Alligator mississippiensis: one gene and its partners. The protein of the gene in region 3 interacts with the protein of the main gene of each other region in a pairwise test. Links are inferred from orthologs where the notes say so. Each region holds a gene or a part of one and is shown on either strand. Other genes may lie near its edges. The genes, in order: ODAD1, MYRIP and C6H1orf216.

Region 1 (7,454 bases), on a different chromosome or scaffold from region 3:
TACTTGAGATGGGAGGTACCCCCTGTTGGATTTCTTCCCTCAGCAGGATGCCCCCACAACCCCCCTACTATGCTGCCTGCAACCTGGCATCCCTAGCATCCTCTACCCACTCCCCAAAGCACAGTGCCCCCCTTCTCAACAGCTTGGCACCTCTAAGCATCCCCTGCCCTTTTCCCTACCCCACAGTACCTCCTCCCAGCTCCCCTAGCACAGCAGCCTGAGCCCTCCCAGGCACCAGGCCTGAGCCCAGGTCCCCACCCAGCCCTGTACCATGAGGAAGCTGCCTGGCGCCTGGCCCTCAGCAGTTTGGCCACAAGACTTTTCCTGCTGCAAACCAAGGCTTCTTTGAAAGGGAAAACAACCAGCCATTGATTCCACAGAGCTGGGCGGGTGGGCTTCAGGATGGGGCAAACTGACTCCCTCCAGGGGGGGCTCCAGCCCCATCTACTTGGGGGGTGGGGGGCACTGTCTGGCTGAGGGGGTGGGGATGGGACAGGGACCTGTCCCTTCTAGGGGGTGCCCGTCTCTGGCCACGTGTATGGTGTCCACATTTCCAGTTGTTCTGCCCAAGGGCTGTAATTGTGGCAGGGAGGGCAGGGTTTGGACAGGGCAGGGATAAGCTGGGGCTGGCTCTCTGAGCTGGGGTGGGAGCAGTGTCTCTGCTGGGGGGTGTGCTATGCTCTGTGCTGTGGGTTTGGGTCTCTGCACTGAGAAGTGGGGGTGCTCTCTTTGTGCTGGCACCAGCTGTGGCTTTATGGAGGTACAGATGCCTCCCAGACGGTGAGGGGGGGACAGCAGCCACCTAGCAGTGGTTTAGGGTGTGTGTGGGGGAGGAACGGATTTTTCTCTCCCCTTTCCCAAAAGCAGCGGGAGAGGGAAGCACCCAGCACCCTACGATCCCCCTTAGCACCTCCCCCTGTGCAAGTAGAGCCAAACTTTGAGACTTTGCAAAAGCACATTCCTCCCTCCCTGACAGACAGACAGATATCCCCATACCCACCCAGACTAAAAGACAGGCACCCCCCACCCTGGGGACTGCAAGGGGCAGCAGCAGGGAGCAGGGTACCTGGGCAGGTCTGGGCACTCCTCTGAGACGCAGGCTGTGTCGCTCCCTCTCTTCTCCCTTCCCCTGTCTCTGCGTCTGTGCCTGAATAAATAGTAACTCCCCCCACACCCCTGGCAGCAGCCCCAGGAGGGAGGGGCCAGATGAGGATGTCCTGTGTCTGCTGGCTGGGGGGCTGGAACATGGGGCCCCCACCCCGAGAGAACACCCTCCCCAGCTGGCACCACATGGAGAGCACTGAGTCCCTGCCCTTGTTGTGTGTCTCCCCACTAGCCCTCCACCCTCTGTCCCCCTCAGACCATTGCATTGCAGGCACTGCCAGCCCGGGATTCCCTGGCATTGCAGGCTTCCCCACAGATTGGCCCAGACTGGGACCTTGGTTCCTTTCCCAATTTTGGGAGAGGAATGAAGTCTGGTGGGTCATAGCAGGAAGGCTGGCAGCCAGAACTCCTAGGTCCTATCCCAGCTCTAGAAGGACAGAGGTGCCTGGTGATAACAAGCAGGGGGGAGAGCCTGAGGTCCATTCCAGCTGTGGGAAGGGAATGAGGGTCTGGTGTGCTGGAGTGGGGGTACCTGGGTTTTGTCCCAGCTCTGGGGGAGGAGTGGGGTCTGGTAGAGGGTGCAGGGAGCTAGGATTCCTGGGTTCCATCTCAGTTCTGGGAAAGGGAGTGAATGTCTGGTGTGCTGGAGCAGAGAGGCTGGGGGCCAGGACTCCTGGGTTCTGTTGCAGTTTGAGGGGCAGCAGGTTGTAGTCTTGTGGATTACCATACTGCTAGGACTCCTGGGATCTCTCCCAGTTCTGGGAAGGGACAGTAATTGGCCACCTACTCAGAAGACAACTGGGTGCTGGTAGTTTAGGACCCCCCAAGACTGAGAATACTTGTCACTGATTGGGGAAGAGCTTTGGAAAAGTGGGGAATATTCAGTTGTCTTCCTGCCTAGAGCGGGGTGCTGAACCCGATGATCTGTGAGGTCCCTTCCAGCCCCTAACAATCTATGAATCTATGAAAAGAGAATCTGGACATTATAAATCCTTCAAATAATTTTGCATCCTTTTGGTATAACACTATAGACTGAAATTGTATATATGTTGGTTGAGGTTGTGGGGGAGGGGTGCACCTCCTCCCTGACTGGCAGAATGAGGCTTGGACCACAACACAGTCCCTGATTGGCTGAATGCTTTGGAACCTTGAATGGGGTGGGTAATTTAGCATTTAATTTGCTGACAAGTTGGAACGTTGAAAATCATTATCTAGGGGGATGTAGCTCAACCTGAGACTGGTTGACAGGGAGGCCAAGTTGGTTGTTCCCTTGGTCTTAAAATAGGACATGTGGTCTTCAAGCCATGGCTTTATGTTCCCCAGCACCAGCAGGAACCTCCAGGTGATGGCTGGGAGGGCGAGCTGCACTCCCATCTGGGGCTCCTCCCTGCCCTTTGCAGGTTTCAAAGCCACCAGCTTCCTTCCACCACTTGGCATATGTATGTGTATGGGGTTCTCCCTAGAGAAATACACCTCATCCCTCTTCAGCAGTTGTTTCCGCCAGGGCCTCTGACTTCCTCTCCTATTTTTGACAAGTCTAAAAAGACAGCCCCTACCCTACAGTCTCCCCAGTTCCTCTAGCAAACTCAGGGCACCAGGGCAGGGAGTTGGGGTGGAGTTCACTGGAGGTAGGAAGGGGCTGGTGGCATTTACTCTCTACATCATGCTTTTTTCAGAAGCTTATAAAGGAGCCACAGGAAACTGCGAGGGGCTAGGGGAGACCCTGGGGAATGTGGGGGCAAGAGGAGAGTGGACCCTAGGACAGATCCCACTGGGTCACCCCAACTTCATAGTTTCATAGTAGCTAGGGTCAGGAGGGACCTGAACAGATCATCTAGCCTGACCCCCTGCCACAGGTAGGAATGAATGCTGGGTTCAAAAGACCCCAGACAGGTGGTCGTCCAACCTCCTCTTGAATATGCCCAAGGTAGGGGCGAAGACCACCTCCCTGGGAAGTTGGTTCCAGATTTTGGCCACCCTAACTGTAAAATATTGCCTTCTGAAAGTGGCAAGGGGCTACTTCAAAGTGTAGCCCCAGAATCCTGGCTGTTCCAGGGAGCTCCCCAGAATGTCTGCCTCTTCCACAGACCTCAAATTGCACCCCTTTAGTGTTGCCCTCCAGGATGCAAAGAGAGCATTAGTCTTAGCTGTTGAACCCCCAAAGACTCTCCAAGCTCTCAAACTCAAGAGAGCCCCCCCCAACACTTCAGGCCCTGTCTGAGCAGGTGCCTCTCCAACCAAACTATCCTTCCCACCTTCCACACTCATTCAGCTGCTCCTCAAAACAACCCCCCCAAAAAAACTACCCCAAACCAGTGCTATGAAGCCAATGGCTGGAGGTTTCACACCATGGCAAAGGAAGAAAACTTCCCATTTTGAATGGAAACCCCAAAGCTCACAACATGACACCTTAGTGGAGTGTCTGATGGGAAGGGCTGGGGTGGACAGGAGTCTCTTGAGCCAGACAGGGATCTCCACTCCTGCTCACCCAGCTGGGGTGAGGAGGCTCTCACTTCCCACCTCTAGAGACACCCAGAAGCAGAAATACAAGAGAAGGAAGTTCCTCCTTGTGGCTGGGGAGAGGTTGCAGCAAGGGAGGGCTGGGAGCCAGGACACCCCAGTTCCACCTCAGCTCTGGGCAGGGAGTGGGGTCTGGTGGGTTGTTAGATCAAGGGAGATGGGGAGCCAGGATGCCCGGGTTCTATCCCCCTGGGTCAGTCTCTTAGCATCCTAGCAGGAGGCTGATGGAAGGGGGCTTCTCACTTGGCAACACCAGGCAGAGCGGTGTAGTGCAGGCCCTCTGAAACCGCACATCCAGCAGTCCCAGCTCAGGCCCGGGGGGGGGGGCAGGGCGGAGACGGGAGGAAGTATCGCTTTCCGCTCCCCGGAAACCCCTGCCCACTCAGATGCCTGGTGCCCTGGCAACTGTTGTGATGGTACAAACAGACGGGGGCAAGGGGGGGGGTCGGCTGTGGTTTGGCAGCTTTCTGGGCCGGACTGTGGTGTGCCGGGGTAGTCCGGCCTCTGACTCACGTGGCTGCAGACCGCCCACAAGGCTTCGTGGGGCACTGCATGCAAATGAGCTGCCCCCGGTCCCGCCCCGGGCACCCAGCCGACCCCTCCCCGCGCCCGGGAATCCCTGAGCAGCCTCCTGCATCTCCTACCCAGCACAGCCAGGCGGGGTGATGCGCATGCGTAATTCGCGCTCCTAAAGGGAGGAAGTGGAAGCAAATGGCGGGAGAAGCAAGGGGCGGGGCCTGTGCGTGGGCGGGGCTTTGGCGAAGGGAGGGGAAGGAGCTGTTGGCCTGGCGCATGGGTATTGTCACGCCTGGGTCCTGATTAGGAGGGATGGAGGTTCCCCCTCCCCAACAGGAGATCACAGTTGGCCTCATCGGGCCTGAGCTGGTGAGATTTCCCTCCTCTCCCCCCGCATGGGGCTGGGCAAGACCTGCTGTAGTCTTGATGTGACCTGCCATAGCCTTGGCATGACCTGCTGTGCTGTGGCCATGCTGTGTCCTGGGGTGGACACTGCCACTCTGTGGCCCAGGGGACCTGTGCTGGGCTTGCTGTGACTCTCTGGGCCATGTGCTGACCCAGGGGGGCTGCAGTGTCCCCCAGCTTGCTGGGGTCCTGTGACTTGGCATCTTCCTGTGGCATCTTGCCTAGATGTGGTCCCATGGGGCTGTGGTGTGATCTGACCTAATGGGCTGTTGGTGTGAAGAGGTCTGAAATGGTTGTGGCACAAGCTACTGTGGCTTGGGGATGTGATGGGACTGGAGCCACCCAAAGTGGTTTGCACATTATTAGGTCTTGGCATGAGCAGATGCGTGGTCATTACCCTTGGCTTTATGGTGCAGGCATGTGACGGGGCCTTGGCATGATCTGGTGGGGCCTTGGAGTGGTCTAATGCTGCAGACTTGTGATGGGGCCTTGGCATGACTGGTGGTGCCAGCTGAACTGAACCTTCCTCCCTGCTTTGAGCAGTGATGGTGCTGCTTGTCCGGACAGAGTGGCCCCTACCTGGCTGCGATGCCCTTTGGGATGAGGGTAGGGTTATGGCCATGCTTGGGCAGCACATTCCCTTACCCCACACTGCAGTCCCCATCTCGTCCCCCCTCCCCACCCCCCGTCATCTGCACCAGAGCTGGGGTGTCCAGTGAGGGGGTGGCATGGGAGTGTGGGACTGAAGGAGGTTCGGGGGGAGGAATTTGGTTGGGACTGAGAGTAGGGGTAGAGGCTGAGGGTTACATGGGTGGAAGGTATATGGATGGATGAGGTTGGAGTGGGGAAGGGGAGAAGAGAGGTCATGGGGGGGGGGGCTAGGGATGGACTGAAGGGGGTGATGGGAACTATGGAGGCATGGGAGAGGAGTGGGGGGTGGGCAGCCAGGGGGGAGTGGCATTGGAGGGTTGTTGGGGTGGGGGGGAAGGGAGGGGAGTTATGGGGGGAAGGGAGGGGGTAGTGGGAGGGGTGTTCAGCCCACATGCATTCTCCCCTGCCTGGCTCCGCCCCCAGGCTCCATCCAGCTCCTCCATAGGCTGAGATACTTTAACTTCCTGGAGACTGTAACTAACAACTGAGTTGGAGGCGGGTTGGAGGAGTGAGTGATGCAGAGACAGGGAGCAAGTGCCAGAGTCCCCTGCACCCTTTGGAGGCTGTGACCTCCCCCTCCCTCTGCCTGTGCCTGCTTGCGGCCTTCAAGGACCATCCAGAGGAGACCCAGGTATCCCCTGCTCCAGGTTCCTGGGAGGGCAGGGTTAGGAAGGGCTGAGAACAGGATTGCCCCATACCCACCCTGAGCTGACACCTTCTCCCTAAACTAGCCCCTTTGACTCACACCAAATCCCCAGCCCTCTCCAGAAATCACCCTCTCCCCAAAACAGCCCCCCAGCTTTCCTACCACCCTGATCTGCAAGCACCGTGTGAACCAGCTGTTATTTTGCCCCAGTTTCACCCCCAATGCTTCCCCTTCCCTCAGCCCAGCCCAGCTCCTTTAGCTTCTGTATTAAGTTCAAGGGCACAGCTCCCTGGGAGCACAGGGCTTGTGAGAGGGGTTGTTTTTACCTACTGTGCTGTGTCCCAGAAGCAGCCACCCTCTGAGGCAGTGTAGAGAGCTCCAGTGTCAAACCAGACGCCTCTGCTTGTCTGCCCCACATGTGATGCCCTGTGCTGCGTGGAGCACCCTGATATAAACCCCCGTTAAGCTGCCCTTAATGAGACCAGCAGCCTGGGAATAACTCCACAGTGCCCAGTTAATCTCTGTCTCCCTTTTTTGTGCCCCAACATCAGCAAGGAGGAGAAGATGCCGCTGCACCGCTCTGCCTTGAGCAACCGCTCTGACAGCAGTGACTTGGACCTGGATGGCATTGGTAATGGCTTTGCCGCAGGACCTCTATTGGGCCCTGTCCTGTCACATCCTGGTCCTAGGGACATGGTGCCCCATCTCTTAATTCTCAGCCCCTGAGGGCCTCTGCACACCACTACCCCTTTCCATGCTCCTCCCAGCTGGCCCCAGACAACCCCAAGATTTTAATTTGGCAGCCAGCCCTTGCCTCATAGGCCATGGGGTACCCGTACATAACCTCACCACACCAAGGCACCCCATATCCATACCCCCAGCAGGACAGACTGCCCTGCATTATGTCTTGGATCCACACCTACTCCCCCTAGGTCTGTGGCAATCACCTGGGTCAGGGGCAGTTCCTTAGCACCCTTAGGTGGGTATTGTGTCCCTTGCCAGGTCCCCGGGGTGGTCAGAGTGGGAGAAGGGCTTCCAGAGCCTGGTGGGAACAGCTTGGGGGTGGAAGAATATCTGGTGGGAGGAGTCAGGGAATGTTGTGGGGGCAGCACCTTGATAGAATATCTTGGGGTCTGGGCATAAGGTGTTTGCGTCATGGCAGGTATCATCTTGTGATGTCATGGGCCCATGTTGTGATCTCATGGGATCTTGGCATGACATCCTGGAGCCTTGGCATGAGGAAGTTATGCAGTGGCAGACAGGGCCTTGTATAATGTCATGGGATTTTAATGTGCCGTCATGTGGGTTGCCTGTGAGAAGGTTAGCATGTGGAAGGCATGGCCTTGGTTTGATGTCATGTGGCCACAGTGGGCCTTGGCATATCATGGGTCTTGTGTATGAGGATTTGGGCCATGATAGGTCAGGGCCTTGGTGTGATATCATGGGGTCTTGGCATGACATCATATGGCTGGGCTGCAAGGAAGTTGGGCCACATTTTGGATGTGTGGGAGGGGCTGGGCCATGGCAGGCAGGACTGTGGCTAGAGCCCTTCTCTGATGCCCCTCTCCCTGTGGCTTTTCCTGGCCCTTCAGCTGAGAGCGAGCTGGCCAAG
Region 2 (7,190 bases), on a different chromosome or scaffold from region 3:
ACTCATTTTATTAACTCACATAAGTGGGTATTAGTACCCACATAAATGTTTAATATGTTTTTTGTTTCATTTATGATATCTTAATTCAAATGGTTTTTTCCTATAAAATCTTCCAAAATTGTCCGAAACAGAACACTTTAACTGAAATCAAATAAAAATATACCATACCTTCCAAGGAACAGCTGCAGCCACTTTGAAACAAAGTTAAACAAGCATGAAAAATAAGAATGAAAACAACACCAAAGGAAAATAATTAGTCTGATACAGCACAGTCTGCAATAATACAGGATGTGTAGAGAGCGCAGTCAAATTACAGCAATGATTCACTGATTATGTGAATGACTGACCAGGCCACAACTTCATTATAATAACACAGCACACTCAACCCGTATGCCAGGAAGTCTTGGCAGTTTGAGCCATCTGGTTTCCCTTTACTTTAAATTCACTCCTATCCATCTATATGTGGACTGCACCTCTGCTACCAGTTATTAGGTAGCTGACCCTGTGGGATAGCCACCAGCAGTGTCTTTTGATATGGATTTATTCTGAATACTTTAAAGTCAATAGGAATATTGTTTTTGTCTTCAGTGGGGGAAGGATCAGGGCCACACGGTGTAAAAATTGCATTTTGAGGAAGGTACATTCAAGATTTTAAAAGCGTTAAATATGCATAGACTTGGTGTTATATCATATCTATTTAGTGATGCAGCCAATTAATGTTGAACCTAGTCGTTATTGCTATAACAACTTCTGAGGTGATCAAAACCATCTTATAAATAGCACTTCTAATCTATAGGCTATGTTGTCCAAGCAAATACCAAAAACAAATAGGCAAGGGACATTGAGAAACTCCCCTTTTGTCTCTACTGGCTCTAATGTACTTCCAAAGAACTCTTCCATACTATTTACAGAGGAGTAAACAGTACAGATTGTTCCTTTGGCCTACTCTGCATTTCCCAACATCCCCAAGTGGCTTGCTCTATTGTCCAACTGTTCTTCCACTTAAGACAGTGGAATTAGCTGTCTAGAAACATTGTAGAATCTCCTTCACTAGAGCTGTCTAAGAAGAGATTGGATAGGCAACAGCCTCAGTTTGGATAGGACAGGAGAGGATTAACATCTGCATAAGGTCTGATTTTGATACAGAGGCAATCATCTGACGAGAAAAAAAATCTTACAGGCTTTCCCATAAATCCGTTTTTGCTCCATTAAACCATTCAGATGTGTGGTAGAGCTCCAAGGACACCCATAAGCCAAGATTTACTCCAGGACTCTGCTGTCAAATATGAGACTGGTTGCTATTTGGCTAAATAGCGCAGAAAACATTAAACAGTAAGTAGAAGAAAGCCTTTAGAAAAGGGCACTGAGAGTCTATAACAACTCTTCCACAGAGAAGGAAAAAAAAAAAAGAAAAGAAAGAGAAACAGTTACACAGCAGGGAAAAGAAAGCAGGTGCACTCTGCCTTCCTTTTTTGGCTGGGCCTTATTACACCCTATGCTGTAAGCCACACAAATATTGATCTGTGTTAATACTAGCTCAAGCTTGGAGCAGTGACACGTTCAGGCCAGCAGGGGCCTGGAGGACTGAAAGGTAAGAATTCTCCCCACTCCTCCTTTCCAGAGTTCCCCTCTGCTCCCTAGGGCTCCCTCAAACACCCCTGCCCTAGGGCTCTCTCCCCTGCCTCTCCACAACCCCGGGGGGAATTCCTTGTGGTTGCCTGCAGTGTCTGTCCTGGGGGAGTAGGCAGGGTAGGGTTAACCTACCTGCTTGCTGCTGTATAGCTGTTGCTCTTTTGGTGCAGAGAGAAGCAGAAGCAGCTTCCCCTGGGCAGGTAGTTTAACTCTTCCCTGCCTGCTCCCTGGGACAAACAGCCCTGGGGAAGCCTCAAGTAAGCAGGGGAGGAGGGGTGGGGAGACAGTGAGCCTGGATCTGGGGTGCTGGGGAGGGCAATTGGCGCATTAGCCCTGATCTGGACCAGCTGGGGTGGGGTGTTTACACTAAGGTGTAGCCTAACCTGGCTACACCTTAGTGCAACACAAGCTGGGTGACAGGGATCAGTCACTCTGAGCTGCCTCACAAGTGCTTAAAACCAGTTTCAGGTGTTCACATGTTCCTGGAGCTCTTAACCCCCAGATTGTCCAATAAGAACTCTAGGAGCCACACAAAGTGATGTGTAAGGAGGCCCTGTGAGCATGTCAACATGCCTGTGGGGAGAAAACAAGGAGATCAACCAGAGAAAGTTTGAGAAACATTCTTGTAGGGTTTGTTTCTAAACTAAAAACCAGTCATTTTCCTCTTGGAAGCTAGCTGTCACTGGCCAAGCCATCATCTCCCCAGCCAGGGAGTGCTGCTGCACCCTGAGTTTTGCCGTATGTGTCGCAGGATAAAGGTTGGCCTCCCCACTTTGTTGAAGAACTGTGCTTGGCTTCCCCTCTCCCCTTAGACTCTTCTCTGCTGAATTGCCCCTCGTGTCTGTACATTAAAGGAAATCCTGGGTTCTGGCAAAGCCTGCCACTGGGAGCCCTGCAGTGGTAACAGCAATGCTGTGAAGCAATGAGTACTGCCAGGTCCGAAAAACTGGCCCTGTGCTTGTGCCTAGTAACACATGAAGCTGGGCTGCACTGGTTCAGGCTGTCTCTGTGGTGTGGCTGCTGGTGGGGTGGGGTGGGGTGGGGTGGGGTGGGGCAGGGTAGATGCCCCCAGCAGCTCCCATCCCTTTCCTAGTGTGTCTGGGTGTAGCCCCTCTTGCAGACTAGCCTTTTTCTCCTCTCAACAAAGAAAGTATTATCTGATCTGCAGCCCCTGGATCTGACCCTTTTGCTCACTGGATGCCTGGACCCCACTCCCCAGGTGAGGGGCTGCTCAAAAGATTTCCTCAGATATTTTTTCAATCATACAGCTCCTCCTCATTTACAGTCATAGTTACATTCTTGCAAAATGCAACGTTAAGTGAAACAATGTTTAAGTGAATCCCAGTAGTCACCTACTAGCAGGCGGTGGCCAAACAACGTTCTGACCGAACGTTGTGCGACTTTAAACAAGTTTGTTTTCTAATCAATCAGCAATGTAATAACGAAACAATGTTAACCGGGACAAGGTTAAGGGAGTGCTATAAATGCTACCTGTGCTATAAATGTGTGCTGCGAACAAGGCAGACAAGGTTCTTTGGGTCAATCTGATATCTTTTATTAAACCAACTCAACCAGTTGGAAAAATTCTTCTTTTGGGCACAAACACCCTTCGTTAGGCTGAGGAAGACGGTGTGAATGACTGATTCATGTCCTAGCAGAAGCAATGAATGACCTTTGTGCTAGCCAGGGCTGAGACTTACTTTCCCAAAGGCATTTGTTCCCTTTGCCATATTGAATCAGACAAGTGCAGCTTAGCCAAAGCCCCTCGCCTGCCTATGTCCAAGAGCCACACGGCTACAACCAACAGCTCTGCAGGATATCTACTTTAAATGCAGTTATGTAAAGAAGTGACCCCAGCTAGAGTTGCGGGGGGGGGGGGTGTTTCTTTTGGGGGTTTTCTTTGATTTTTTGGGGTGTTTGTTTTTTGGGGTTTGGGGGGTTTTGTTTTTTGGGGTCGTTCTGTTTTGGGGGGTTATTGTTTGGTTTTTTACGGGGGCGTTTTGTTTTGGGGGGTTGTTTTGTTTTGGTGGAGGGGGCATTTTTTGTTTTGTTTTTCAGCAGTTTGTGGGAGGCTCAATCCGGGCGGGGGGGGGGGGGGGAAGCTTCCAAAAGCATTGGAGGGGCCTTTTGAAATGAAAATGAATCAGAGCTCCTCGTGGCAGAGGTGAGCTCTTTTGTTTAGACTAATAGCTATTTGCCCCCCGCCCCCCAAATAAAAAAAAAAGTCTTTATTTGCTAGACTTTTGATTCCTTTTGCCTCCAGCCCAAGACGGCTCCAGCCTGGGTACCTTTTGCTGTACGAAAGCCCGCCTCCTTCCATTCACGCCTGTCACTGGGTCTCGGCACCCGCCTCCAGGCGTGAGAGGTTATTTTTTTGGTGTGGCGGGGGTAGCCGCTTCCCTCGGAGGCCGCCGGCTCCTGCCCGCTCCCGCCAGCTGCAGTGAGGAGAGGCAGCGCCGCTGCAGTGCGCGCGCGCCGCCCCCCCACCCGCGCGGCCCCCGCTCGGCTCCGCTCGGCTCCCCCGCGGCCGCGCCGGGCCGGCCAGGTGGTGGCGGCAGCGCGGGCGAGGCAGTGCCATGGCAGGCGCGGCCCCCAGCACCAGCGCCAGCGCCCACCTGGCGCCCTGCCCCAGCCGCTGGTAGGCACCCTTGCCCCGCGGCGGGGATCCCCTTCCTCCTCTCCCTGCCGCCCCCGAGGGCAGTGGTGCGAGGCAGCAGGAGCCACCCCGGCCCGCGGGGCCAAGGACTTGCTGACCCATCCGCAGCATCCTTCTTCGGCGAGCGCTGCGCTGCAGAGAGAAGTTCCTACTGCCCAGCTTCCATTTTGGTGCAGGCTGCCGTGGTGAGTACCCACCTGCCCTGCCCTGCCTGCCCTGGCACTGCCGCAGGGGCTCTGTCTTGCTGGGGCAAGCAGCTCCCAGCCTGGGTGCGCTGCGGGGGACATGCAGGAGTTTCCCCAGCTGCTGTGGTGTGAAGGGAAGGGCTGGCAGGTGCTGGGGGGTGCAGTGACAGTCCAATTCCCCCCTCCCAATCCTCCTTCTCTTGCCTGTCGCATAGGTGCGCAGCCTGGCATTGCCCCTTCCCTTCCCCATTGCCATTAGCCCCTGTGGGGGAGCTGGTGCCCCCCGGTGGCTGCGCCTGCATCCCGGGGTGGCTTCGTGGGGGGGCCTGTCTCACCCCCTGTGACGGAGGAGAGGTTCAGATGCAGGGGATGGCTGGAGCAGTGGGGAGGAGGCTGCGATCTGGACTTCTCCCCCACTCCCCCAAACGAAGGTCAAAGCCAGACTCATGCTGTGCCCCTTGATTGACGATGGGATGAAGCCAGCCAGAGCTCACCGTATGCCTCTGTGATCTAGTTAGCCTCCAAGGTGCGATCCTACCCTAGCCTTATTCATTTTCTCCAGGCAGCAGACACCTATTATTTTGTTCCTCCCTTTCCCTCCCACCTTCTCCCCCCCCACCTTGGGTTTTCTCTCTTACTGAAGCACAGTGATGCTTGTACAGAAGAACTGTCATTTACTGGGTTGGAGCACAGGATCATCCTACCCAGTACCTTGGCGCACAGGGGCAGAGCATGGATGCTGAAAGGAAGAGTGAAACTGGGCTGGCCAGGGGTCTGTAATGTGGAAATGTTTATTAAGAGTCTCTAATCTGGACATAGGGAGAGAGTAGGCTCCTCCATTCACTGTGCAAGCAGGTTTTCTGTAGCATGGGGATAAGGCATAAGAAAGAGTGGCGTTATTTCCAAACTGTACGTTTGTAGCTGCCCAGCAGTTATATCCTGCTGACTTTCCCACATTTATAAAAGCAGCATTAATTGGCTGGACCCAGTGCTAGGTCTCAGTGTTTGAATATATTTGCATTAGATTTCTTTATTGTGATTACCGGCCAGATGTCCCAATAGTTTGGCAGGTTTTTAAATAATATCATTATCCGGGCAATGCCATCACAGCATGTTTTTCTTTAATGAATAGAATGTTTTACTATGGGTGAACTAACTTCTGGGAGGACTTTGAGGTTTGTAATGGAAGATATGTATGGCAGCATTTCAGTATATTCTTTCTGCAACTACGGTATATAGCATCACTTTATTTATTTATTTATTTTTTTTTTTTTACAGAAGAGAACACATTTTGCTAGTATCAAGGTCAGCATATTGTAACTACTGGGGAAAATACCATATGGTTTACGATGACTTGTCTTAGGGAATCTAATTTAGTCACTCTGAGCTGTATGGTTTGGTTTATATTTTGTTTGAGATTTATGTAACCGAATTGGATCACAAAATTAAGCAAAATGTCTTGGATTGCAGGTGCCACCCTAAGTAGGTTCATAGAGATGTAAACTGTACCTATGGATTTATGTTGATAGAAAGTATGCTTGTGTTGTTTTTTTTTTCCTCTTCCTTTTTAAATTCATCCCTTCATCATCCCTCTGTGAAAATGTCAGTAGGTGGCAGAGTGAAAGTTATAAAGGCTAGAAACTTTTATTTCTAGAACAGGCATAATGTGGGCATTGGTAATGAAGGTCTTTCCCTTTTCTGTGACAAGATGCCTCAGTCCTGTTCAGGAAGGGCTGTTTATAAGAGGGAGAAGGGAGTTCATTTTCCACATTCACCCAAGCCTTTATAGTTTTGTCCAGACTGTCATCATAGCTTGCCAGTGTGTTTTTGATGATGTAGCTGCCAGGCCAATAGGGAGTGGACAGAGATCATCAACTGATTTTATACAGGTCACTGAACTGCCATCCATCACATATTAATACCATCTGATTATTAACAACCTGAGAGGAATCTGAATTTAAAACTTACAAAGGAACGACTTTCCTAACTCCCTGAACCATGATGTGCCCTAATCTGTCTCTTTTTTTATTTTTTAATAGAAATAATTGTATCAGAGCATGTGCACAGAGGTCTTCTGCCCTGTAAATATGTAACTATTTGCTTATCAGTCAGATTCCACAAGCAGACGGCTTATTAAAAAATATATTTAGACTATAAATGGGAAGATTTTTTTTTTTTAAAGTACAATGACAAAATTGGGTTCTAAGATGCGAATATGGAACATACATGATACATTTCAGACAGTGGCTTCCTGGGACAAGTGTACAAGACTTAATTTGCATTCTTGGGAGGCATTTTAGAACTACTCTTTTAGACAGGCCAATATTTCTTATGAAATGTTCCCCTTTGTAATCTGTACTGTTTGGAAACAAAATAAGGTCATAGTCTATAACTTTCCAAACTGGCCAGTTTTTCCCTCTGAGTCCTAGCAGGGCAGACCCCCCCCCCCCCCCCCCCATGAAAAAAAGCCCTACTGTTAAAAATAATAGTGAATTTGACCAGGTGCTTTGACAATTGACTTTTAAAAGGGACTTCTCTGGGAGAAACGCACAAATAATAAAAGCCAGCTATGAGAATGCAATTACATACAGGGATCCTGCATCACTACCCTGAGAAATGGTAAGGAGAACAAGAGCTACAATAAATATAATGTTTGAATAAGGTTTAAGAAAACATGCATGCATGGTTGACTTTCAAGAAAAGCTGTGTATGCCTAA
Region 3 (7,028 bases):
ATCTGTTGGCAGTGCTCTGACTAATGCAGCCCAGGATGCCGTTAGCCTTCTTCACAACAAGGGCACACTGCTGGCTCCTATTCAGCGTCTTGTCCACTGTAACCCCCAGGTCCTTTTCTGCAAAGCTGCTGCTTAGCCAGTCGGTCCAACCTGTACCGGTGCATGGGACTGTTCTGTCCTAAGGGCAGATGTCCCGGGATTGCATCACTGGACCAATGAAAGAAAAGCAGCAGTGCATTCACCCACTCACTAAACCCTGATTGGAGGGGCAACGTGTATACATGCCAGTCCTGTGACTTTTCTTTTCTGGGACAACCAAAGGCACAACTTGTCCCAGGACAAATGCAACATCTGTTTGTAGCCTGTTCGTAACACCAAGGACCCCACTTCAAGGAGTCTTTGTTGTGCCGGGCACCTTAGAAATAGAATAAAAGGCCAGCCCTAACGAGCAGTATTGCTGTGATAGGGTTGTATTGCTGTAGGATTGAGGACATTAGCCAGGGCTGGGACACTCATGGTGCTTGGTGCTGTACAGAACAAAGACACATCCCCTGCCCCAGAGAGGTAGAAGTATAAATCAATATTACAGCTGACTGCTTGGGGCCGGAGCTGAAGGGGGATAAACATAGAAAGGAGGAACACAAACCCTCCTTGTGTTCATGTGAAGCACATTTTTGTCCCCCTGTCACCTCTCCAACCCCCAAGACTCATGTTGCTTAACATGCTGACTTCATCCAAACCATTCAGAACCCCTTACATTTGCTCTTTCCCTTCATCCTGGCATTAAGCCTGACAATGCCCCTTTATGCCCAAAGTGTTTGTGGTGCTTCATGTGACCTTCTTGCTCCAGGCTTTGCATTCATCCCTGCTTGTTTGATGTGCTACTGCTTTTTATTTTAACCTTTGGAGACACCCCCAAGTCCCAGCACAGATGGATAAAAGGTCTATTGAGAAAGCTGCATCCATAGCCCCCTCCCTGCGCTCTGCAAGGAGCTGATGGACTGTGAGGTAGGTACCACGGGGGAGTCTGGGTAGCCTAAAGCTCATAGGACTGATCAGGGGGATTGGGAAGAGGTAGAAGGAGGAGCTGTTCTGTTCATGAAAAATTGTCTTCAATGTGTTGCTGGGTGAGATGCATCCTCATACACATGCCCATACACATGCACACAGGGGGTATCTGCTGGGCTACAGGCTGTGTTTGGGGTTAGACCCCCAGAGACGTTTTGCCAATACCGTCCACTCATTACCCAGTAGCAGGTGGTGGTGCAGGGACATGTCCCTCTTTTCCTTCAGGTTTAGCAGGTTTAATCACCAGGCAGGTACCCCATAGACTCATGTTGTGCCAAAAGCCAGGACACATTTTGTAGCTTTGCCTCATTGCTTCTCCACTGGAGTTTTTCTGGGACTCCGAATAAATCTGGAATATAGCAGAGAGGCCTCATCAACCTGAGGACTTTCACCTGCCCAAAAGGGTTCTGGGAAGCTTCTCTCACCAGTGCGTGGCCAGCTAAGCAGCATGATTAAAATCCCAGCCACTGCCTGTTCATCGCAAGCCCCTTACTGTGGTATTTGTAGAGAAAAGAGTGATTCTAGTACACCACCGGTCTTGATGTTACAGCAAAAGTGGTAGGTAAGAGTAGCTTGCAGATCCCATTAAACTACATTATTAGGTGGCAAATTCTCTGTCTTTGAAGTCTTCTGAAACCTTTAATTAAGCTAGAAAGATAGTTGGGTTTTCAAGGGAGTGCCCAGGGAGGCTGAGAAAGCTCTTAACCACTAGGGAGATTTAATGATGGGAGTCATACAGCCAATGGGCATCAGCATCATATCCAGATGTAGCTCTGTGGAGGGCTCTTTAATCTGGAGATGGGACAGGCTGCCCTGGGACTCAGGGTGCAGACAATGACAATTTTTGCCCCATCTGGCCCCTGAAAGTACTCTATAGCCCTGTCCTAACACAAGTGCATGGCTGCAGAACACTTTAAAAGGGCCTGATCCCGCAACAATCTGAACTCTCATTACATGAGGGTTCAGATGAAGGTGCTCCAAACAGGAGTGCCTTCATTAACTTCTGTCTGTGCATGCTGGGTGCTTTCAGAATGGGGGAGGGGGAAGAGAGAGTAGGGAGCTCATTTTGGTTGTTGCTTAGTCAGTGCTGGAGGGTAAGGCAGGTGGCTTGGATGCCCCCAAGGTTGGGGGATCCAATTCATCCATCCTCTGACTCCAGTGCAGTCTGAGGAAACCCCAGAATGCAACTCCTTCCCCTGCCTTCTCCCTCTCCCAGCCTGAGACAGCACCAGGGGCCAGGAGAGGGGTAGTGGGGCTAGGGGAAGAGGGTGCAGAGTTGCAGCTTTTCTCTCTGGATCAGCTCCAAATTGGAGCTTGACCCCCCCTCCCCACTGACCCAACACCTAACCTCTTTTGGGTCAGGAGGGTCGGTCTAACTCATGGCGCTTTCTGTGAAGCACCATGAGTTAGACCAGGAAGCGGCACTTCTGTCTGCACCTTCAGAGATTCTGCACCAGCCCAAGGGACAGGGGAGCTTCACATCCTCTTGCTGCCCTCATGTATCCAGGTCAGAGAAGCCACAGACTTCTGTTATAAAGAGGATCAGAGCCAGTCCCATTGCTGGGCTCTCTATTAAAAAGATCTTATGCCCCAGGCCCTGGAAGAAAACATGGCTGTAGTCCAGGACATTCACTGACCAGATGCTCTCTGCACAGAGCTTCATGATAAGCCATGGGCAGGGAAATCCTTGATCTTGAAATATTGCCTCAACCCATCACACCCATGGTAGAGGTGAAGGGAGAGGGGCTTCAGATGGGCCAGGTGTCCTACTTGAGAGAAGGCCTGATGCTCTAGTTCAGCTGGACCAGCACCAGCTATAGCAATTTCTAAACAAAGGTCTTGCAACTGCCCTGGTTTCCACTAAAATCTCCCCACGTGCTTTGTACTTGGAAGTTACCATCAAGTGTGCGTTCCCAGCAGCAGAGCTTGGCTGCACGGGTGTCTCAGAGCGCACTGGTACAACCAAGGCTAGGAGGTGAGAGCACCTCGCTTCCTTTCTCTACCTGCACCCCTCCGACTGCTTAGCTCCACACTCCCATCCATTCCTGGGCCCCACGAAAGACAGAGGGACTGACAGGGTCTCACACCAGAGGCAGGGTTATGACAAGCACACCAGGTGAGCAGTGAGTGAGGCTGTGGGGATGGATCAGGCTCAAGTTTTGGTCTGGTGAAAAACCAATTGGAGACATGGAACACCCCCCCCCCCCAATTGCACTGCGACTGTTCCTCTGACCCCTTGCACATGCCTGGGGGTGCGGGGGTCACATACCACTGACATGCTAGCAAGACTGCTGCCAGGAATATATGTCTGTTTATTCATTCCTTTGTATTGTGGTAATGCCAGGGAAGCAGCTATCACAGACCAGGCCTTCATCATGTGCAGCCCTGTACAAATCCAGGGGGAATCCAGGGCATAATGTATTGGGAATCTGTCCACTTACCAACCAGCCTGATCAGAGCTAAATCTTCCAGAGTGATTTGGTGGCTTTCTGATGCCTCAGATTCCCCGGGGCGACTCTAATGCAGCCTGATTTTCAGAAAATCCTAAGCCACTCTCCCGCAGAAAATCAGGTTCCTTACAGCTGCCTCTAGGCAGGCCCTCCAAAGTTGCTGCTGCTGAAGTGTGAGTCGGTGATGTGCCGGACGCTCAATGCAGGTTCCTCTGCACAGCACGAGCATCTCTTTACTTACCGAGGGCTGATCTCCTGGCTGAGTGTTGTTTCCAGGGAAGCTGATTCCATCGCTAGGGAGACAGATCATCTTTTATAGGCTCTGTTAACCCCCCCCCCCCACACACACACACATACACACACTCACTTAACAGTGCCAGGCTTGTGCTAAGGTGGCCGTAGGTGCTGCCTTGCATTTCTTGCTGCCTGCTGATCATCCTGTGACAGGGCACTCCCAGCAGCGCCGGTTGCTGTAGGAAGTATGCAGTACATGACGCTTTCCTGCTGCTGGAGTGAGGACTATTTCCGTTCTCTCCAGCTCAGCAGCAGCAACAGCAGCAGCAGCCGCCTGAGAAATCCACCTTTGCTTTCCCAAGACCTCCTTGGTAAGTGTGTGCATTACGCGGGGGGGTTGTTTGTATTTGGTATGTGGCAGGAGATAACCTGATGCCAGGGGTTGAAGTCACCTACTTCCCCACCTCGGTGCTAGGCACAGGGCAAAGAGCACAGCCCCATGGTCACATTTGGACCCCTTTGACAGGGTGTGTGTGGGGGGAGTGGGGGTTTCTACTGACTTTCCAGCACTTTGCTGTTCTGCTCACACAGATGGTACCAGGACCCCAGCCCCACCTGTGCTTGGCCTGGTGTGTGTGTGTGTGTGTGTGTGTGTGTGTGTGTGTATGTGAGAGAGAGTGTGCATGAGCACATGTGCATGTGTGCATGTGTGCACATATGCATGTGCTTGTTGGGTTTCTGATTTGCAAAGCGTTCATTGATTTATTTGTAGGGTCCCACAGCATGGACAGGGCTTTTGCTCGGTGCCATCTTAGGGATGTGTGGCTGGTAACTGTTGTACCACACATGCCCTTCCCCTCCCACCCCCTGGCCCCTGCCCCAAAACACAAAGTTTGGACGTAGGCATGATAAACCCTCCTGCCCCTTCCCCTTTGAATGCCCAGGTGCTGAGCCTGCTACAGCCACATGAGCTGGTACAGGGGACCCTGCCGTAACTGAGGATCAAGGTTAGCTCAGTGGCCACATGAGGATGTGCTGGGACAGTGATTCCAACAATCTCATAATCCTGATCGCATCTGTTTTCTCTGTCTCCTGGCAGGGATTACCGTGAGCATTAGAACCCCTTTGCCTCTGCGTTGCCTTTCCCTTGCATTTTCCTTAAACCATTTGCAGAGCTCACAAGTCTGGGGAGCTGTGTGGTTTTTCCCCCCCAAACTCTAGGCATGCGAGAGAAAGGGGAGGTCCACCCTGCCGGCACGCTGCAAGGCAGAGCTTTGTGATGTTTGTACGGGGACAGCACAACTCTCCCCTGTGGCTCTGGGCACCATCCATCACATGCTACCACCACGCTGCAGCACATCATGCTGTCTGCTGCTGCTACACACACACACACACACACACACACACACATCTCTGCTTGCCATGGAAACCTCACCATAGCAACCATACTGGAATCCAGGTTTAAAGGGACAGGGTCATGGGGTGCAGCACAGGTGAAAGTGACCCCGTTCAAGTAGCCCTGAAAACACTGGGCCTCCTCTTCCCGCTGGGACCAGTCCTACACCAGTGTAGCTCCGTTCTGTTAAGTGCAACTAATCCTGGTCTACACTGGGGGAGAGGGGAAGAGGAACAGGATCATGGTCCGTATGCTGCAGTCATCCTGCAATGAGGGTCCATCCCCTGTAGCAGGAGGCTGGGGCATACACTTGGTCCTGTTGCTGCTGCAGTGGCTTCTGCTGAGCTGCAGGCCATAGCTGAGCTGTAGCCCTCTTGTAAAGCAGGTACCTGGGGAGCTGAGCTAGGGCTTTGCCTCTGAGGGCACAGACCTCTCTTCCCTGAGGCCAGTGGGGGCACTTGCAGTTGGCTGCAGCTGGTCCTCAGTCCCAGAGAGGCCTGTCACTCACACAGGCCCACGAAGCCAGCCCGTGACACCCCACGCTTCACCCCAGCTCCACTCTCTGCTCCTCTTTCTCCCTCCTGGGATTGCTCCTGCACCAGCAGCTTCAAGGATTGGATTCTGTTTCCTTCTAGCTTTGCCCCTTCATCTTGCCTTGTGTTTCAGGCACCCTTACCTCTTGCCCTGTAGGCATTCCTTCCAACATTTAGGGATATCCAGACCTAGATCCAGACTCACCCCCTGCCTGCGTCCAGTCCAAATCCTGGCTTTCAAACACCTATAAACTCTGGGTATTTGCAGCTTGAGCCTGGAGTGACATCTCTGTGGCACTTTTCTTGCTGATTAAATAGCTTTTAGTGCATTTCCCCTCACAGCACTCCTATGCAGCACAGTAGTACTATTCCCCCCTACCCATTTCACTGGCTCACAGGGGCTAGAAGACTCACCCAAGGTCTGTGGTAGGGAAGTGGTTGACCCCACTTCTCCCAAATTGCAGCTCAGTGCCTTAAATCAATGGACTGATGCAGAGAAAACTCTCCCAATTGCTTTAGCAAACACCCGCTTTTGTGAATCCTCTACATCTGATCTGTCAGGGGAGTTGCCATCCAAGATATATTGGTTATTACCTCACTGAGGAATGGCAAAGGTAAAACAACTAATGCTGGTTTTGGGTAGCCTGCTAAAAATCGCAGTCCTGCTTAGGCAGGGCTGGCCAGGGAAACGTCCCCAAGTTACAGTCCATGCAGTAAACACTCCCCATCAACACTGGTATTATTCCCACTCAACCACTAACTTTTGCATGGAAAAAAGGGGTAGCTAAGCAGTCTGGTCTCCTGGGGAGGGAATCTTGTTCTCCTGGGTTTTCCTGCATGTGATTTCTAGCACTAAGCTTTCCTCCATCTCTATTCATAACCCTGGTAGGAATTCTAGTTTGACATTTTTTTTTCCACTGGTTCCAGTTTGTAATGAAGGAGCAGGCCTACTGGTGCTATTGGCATCCTTGAAAAGTCAGAGACCAATGGAAAGCTGCACAGATCTATTAAAATAATCCAATGGGATGTAATAGGATTTCCACTGGGGAAGGTGAACAGACATTAAAAGAAGTAACCAAAAGTGTTTCAAATTTACACAGGTTCCCTTCATACGCCTCACCAACAGGGACAAAGTTTAAACTGTTTCCCACTGTTTCCCACAGCTTTTTTCTTGCAGCCTACAGTGTTTTGCACGGCTGACTTCATGCTCCTGGCTTGGTTGGTGCAGGGAAGAGATCCTGTGTGATGATGTCTATTTAGGCCCGTTAATCCAGACCGAGCATTGCTCCTTATCAGCCAGACATGCCCCTTTGCGGGGTGGGATCACGCACGTCATTCGGAGTGTCG

Evidence for each region.
Region 1: the proteins of C6H1orf216 (region 3) and ODAD1 interact in binary tests that used the Homo sapiens proteins (3 or more experiments, as listed by UniProt). The two-hybrid records come from large-scale screens. The link is inferred for Alligator mississippiensis from reciprocal best matches to the Homo sapiens genes C1orf216 and ODAD1.
Region 2: the proteins of C6H1orf216 (region 3) and MYRIP interact in binary tests that used the Homo sapiens proteins (3 or more experiments, as listed by UniProt). The two-hybrid records come from large-scale screens. The link is inferred for Alligator mississippiensis from reciprocal best matches to the Homo sapiens genes C1orf216 and MYRIP.

The regions. Positions count from the first base shown.
Region 1 is NC_081828.1:38,585,729-38,593,182, forward strand, and holds the start of ODAD1 (outer dynein arm-docking complex subunit 1), read left to right. Parts: upstream 1-4,392; 5' UTR 4,393-4,509; intron 4,510-4,961; exon of another isoform or gene 4,962-5,151; intron 5,152-5,619; exon of another isoform or gene 5,620-5,827; intron 5,828-6,393; exon of another isoform or gene 6,394-6,406; coding exon of another isoform or gene 6,407-6,473; intron 6,474-7,434; coding exon of another isoform or gene 7,435-7,454. UniProt on the Homo sapiens protein: Component of the outer dynein arm-docking complex (ODA-DC) that mediates outer dynein arms (ODA) binding onto the doublet microtubule. Involved in mediating assembly of both ODAs and their axonemal docking complex onto ciliary microtubules.
Region 2 is NC_081828.1:134,550,010-134,557,199, forward strand, and holds the start of MYRIP (rab effector MyRIP), read left to right. Parts: upstream 1-4,103; 5' UTR 4,104-4,473; intron 4,474-7,190. UniProt on the Homo sapiens protein: Rab effector protein involved in melanosome transport. Serves as link between melanosome-bound RAB27A and the motor proteins MYO5A and MYO7A. May link RAB27A-containing vesicles to actin filaments. Functions as a protein kinase A-anchoring protein (AKAP).
Region 3 is NC_081829.1:8,811,305-8,818,332, reverse strand, and holds the start of C6H1orf216 (UPF0500 protein C1orf216 homolog), read left to right. Parts: upstream 1-3,954; 5' UTR 3,955-4,123; intron 4,124-7,028.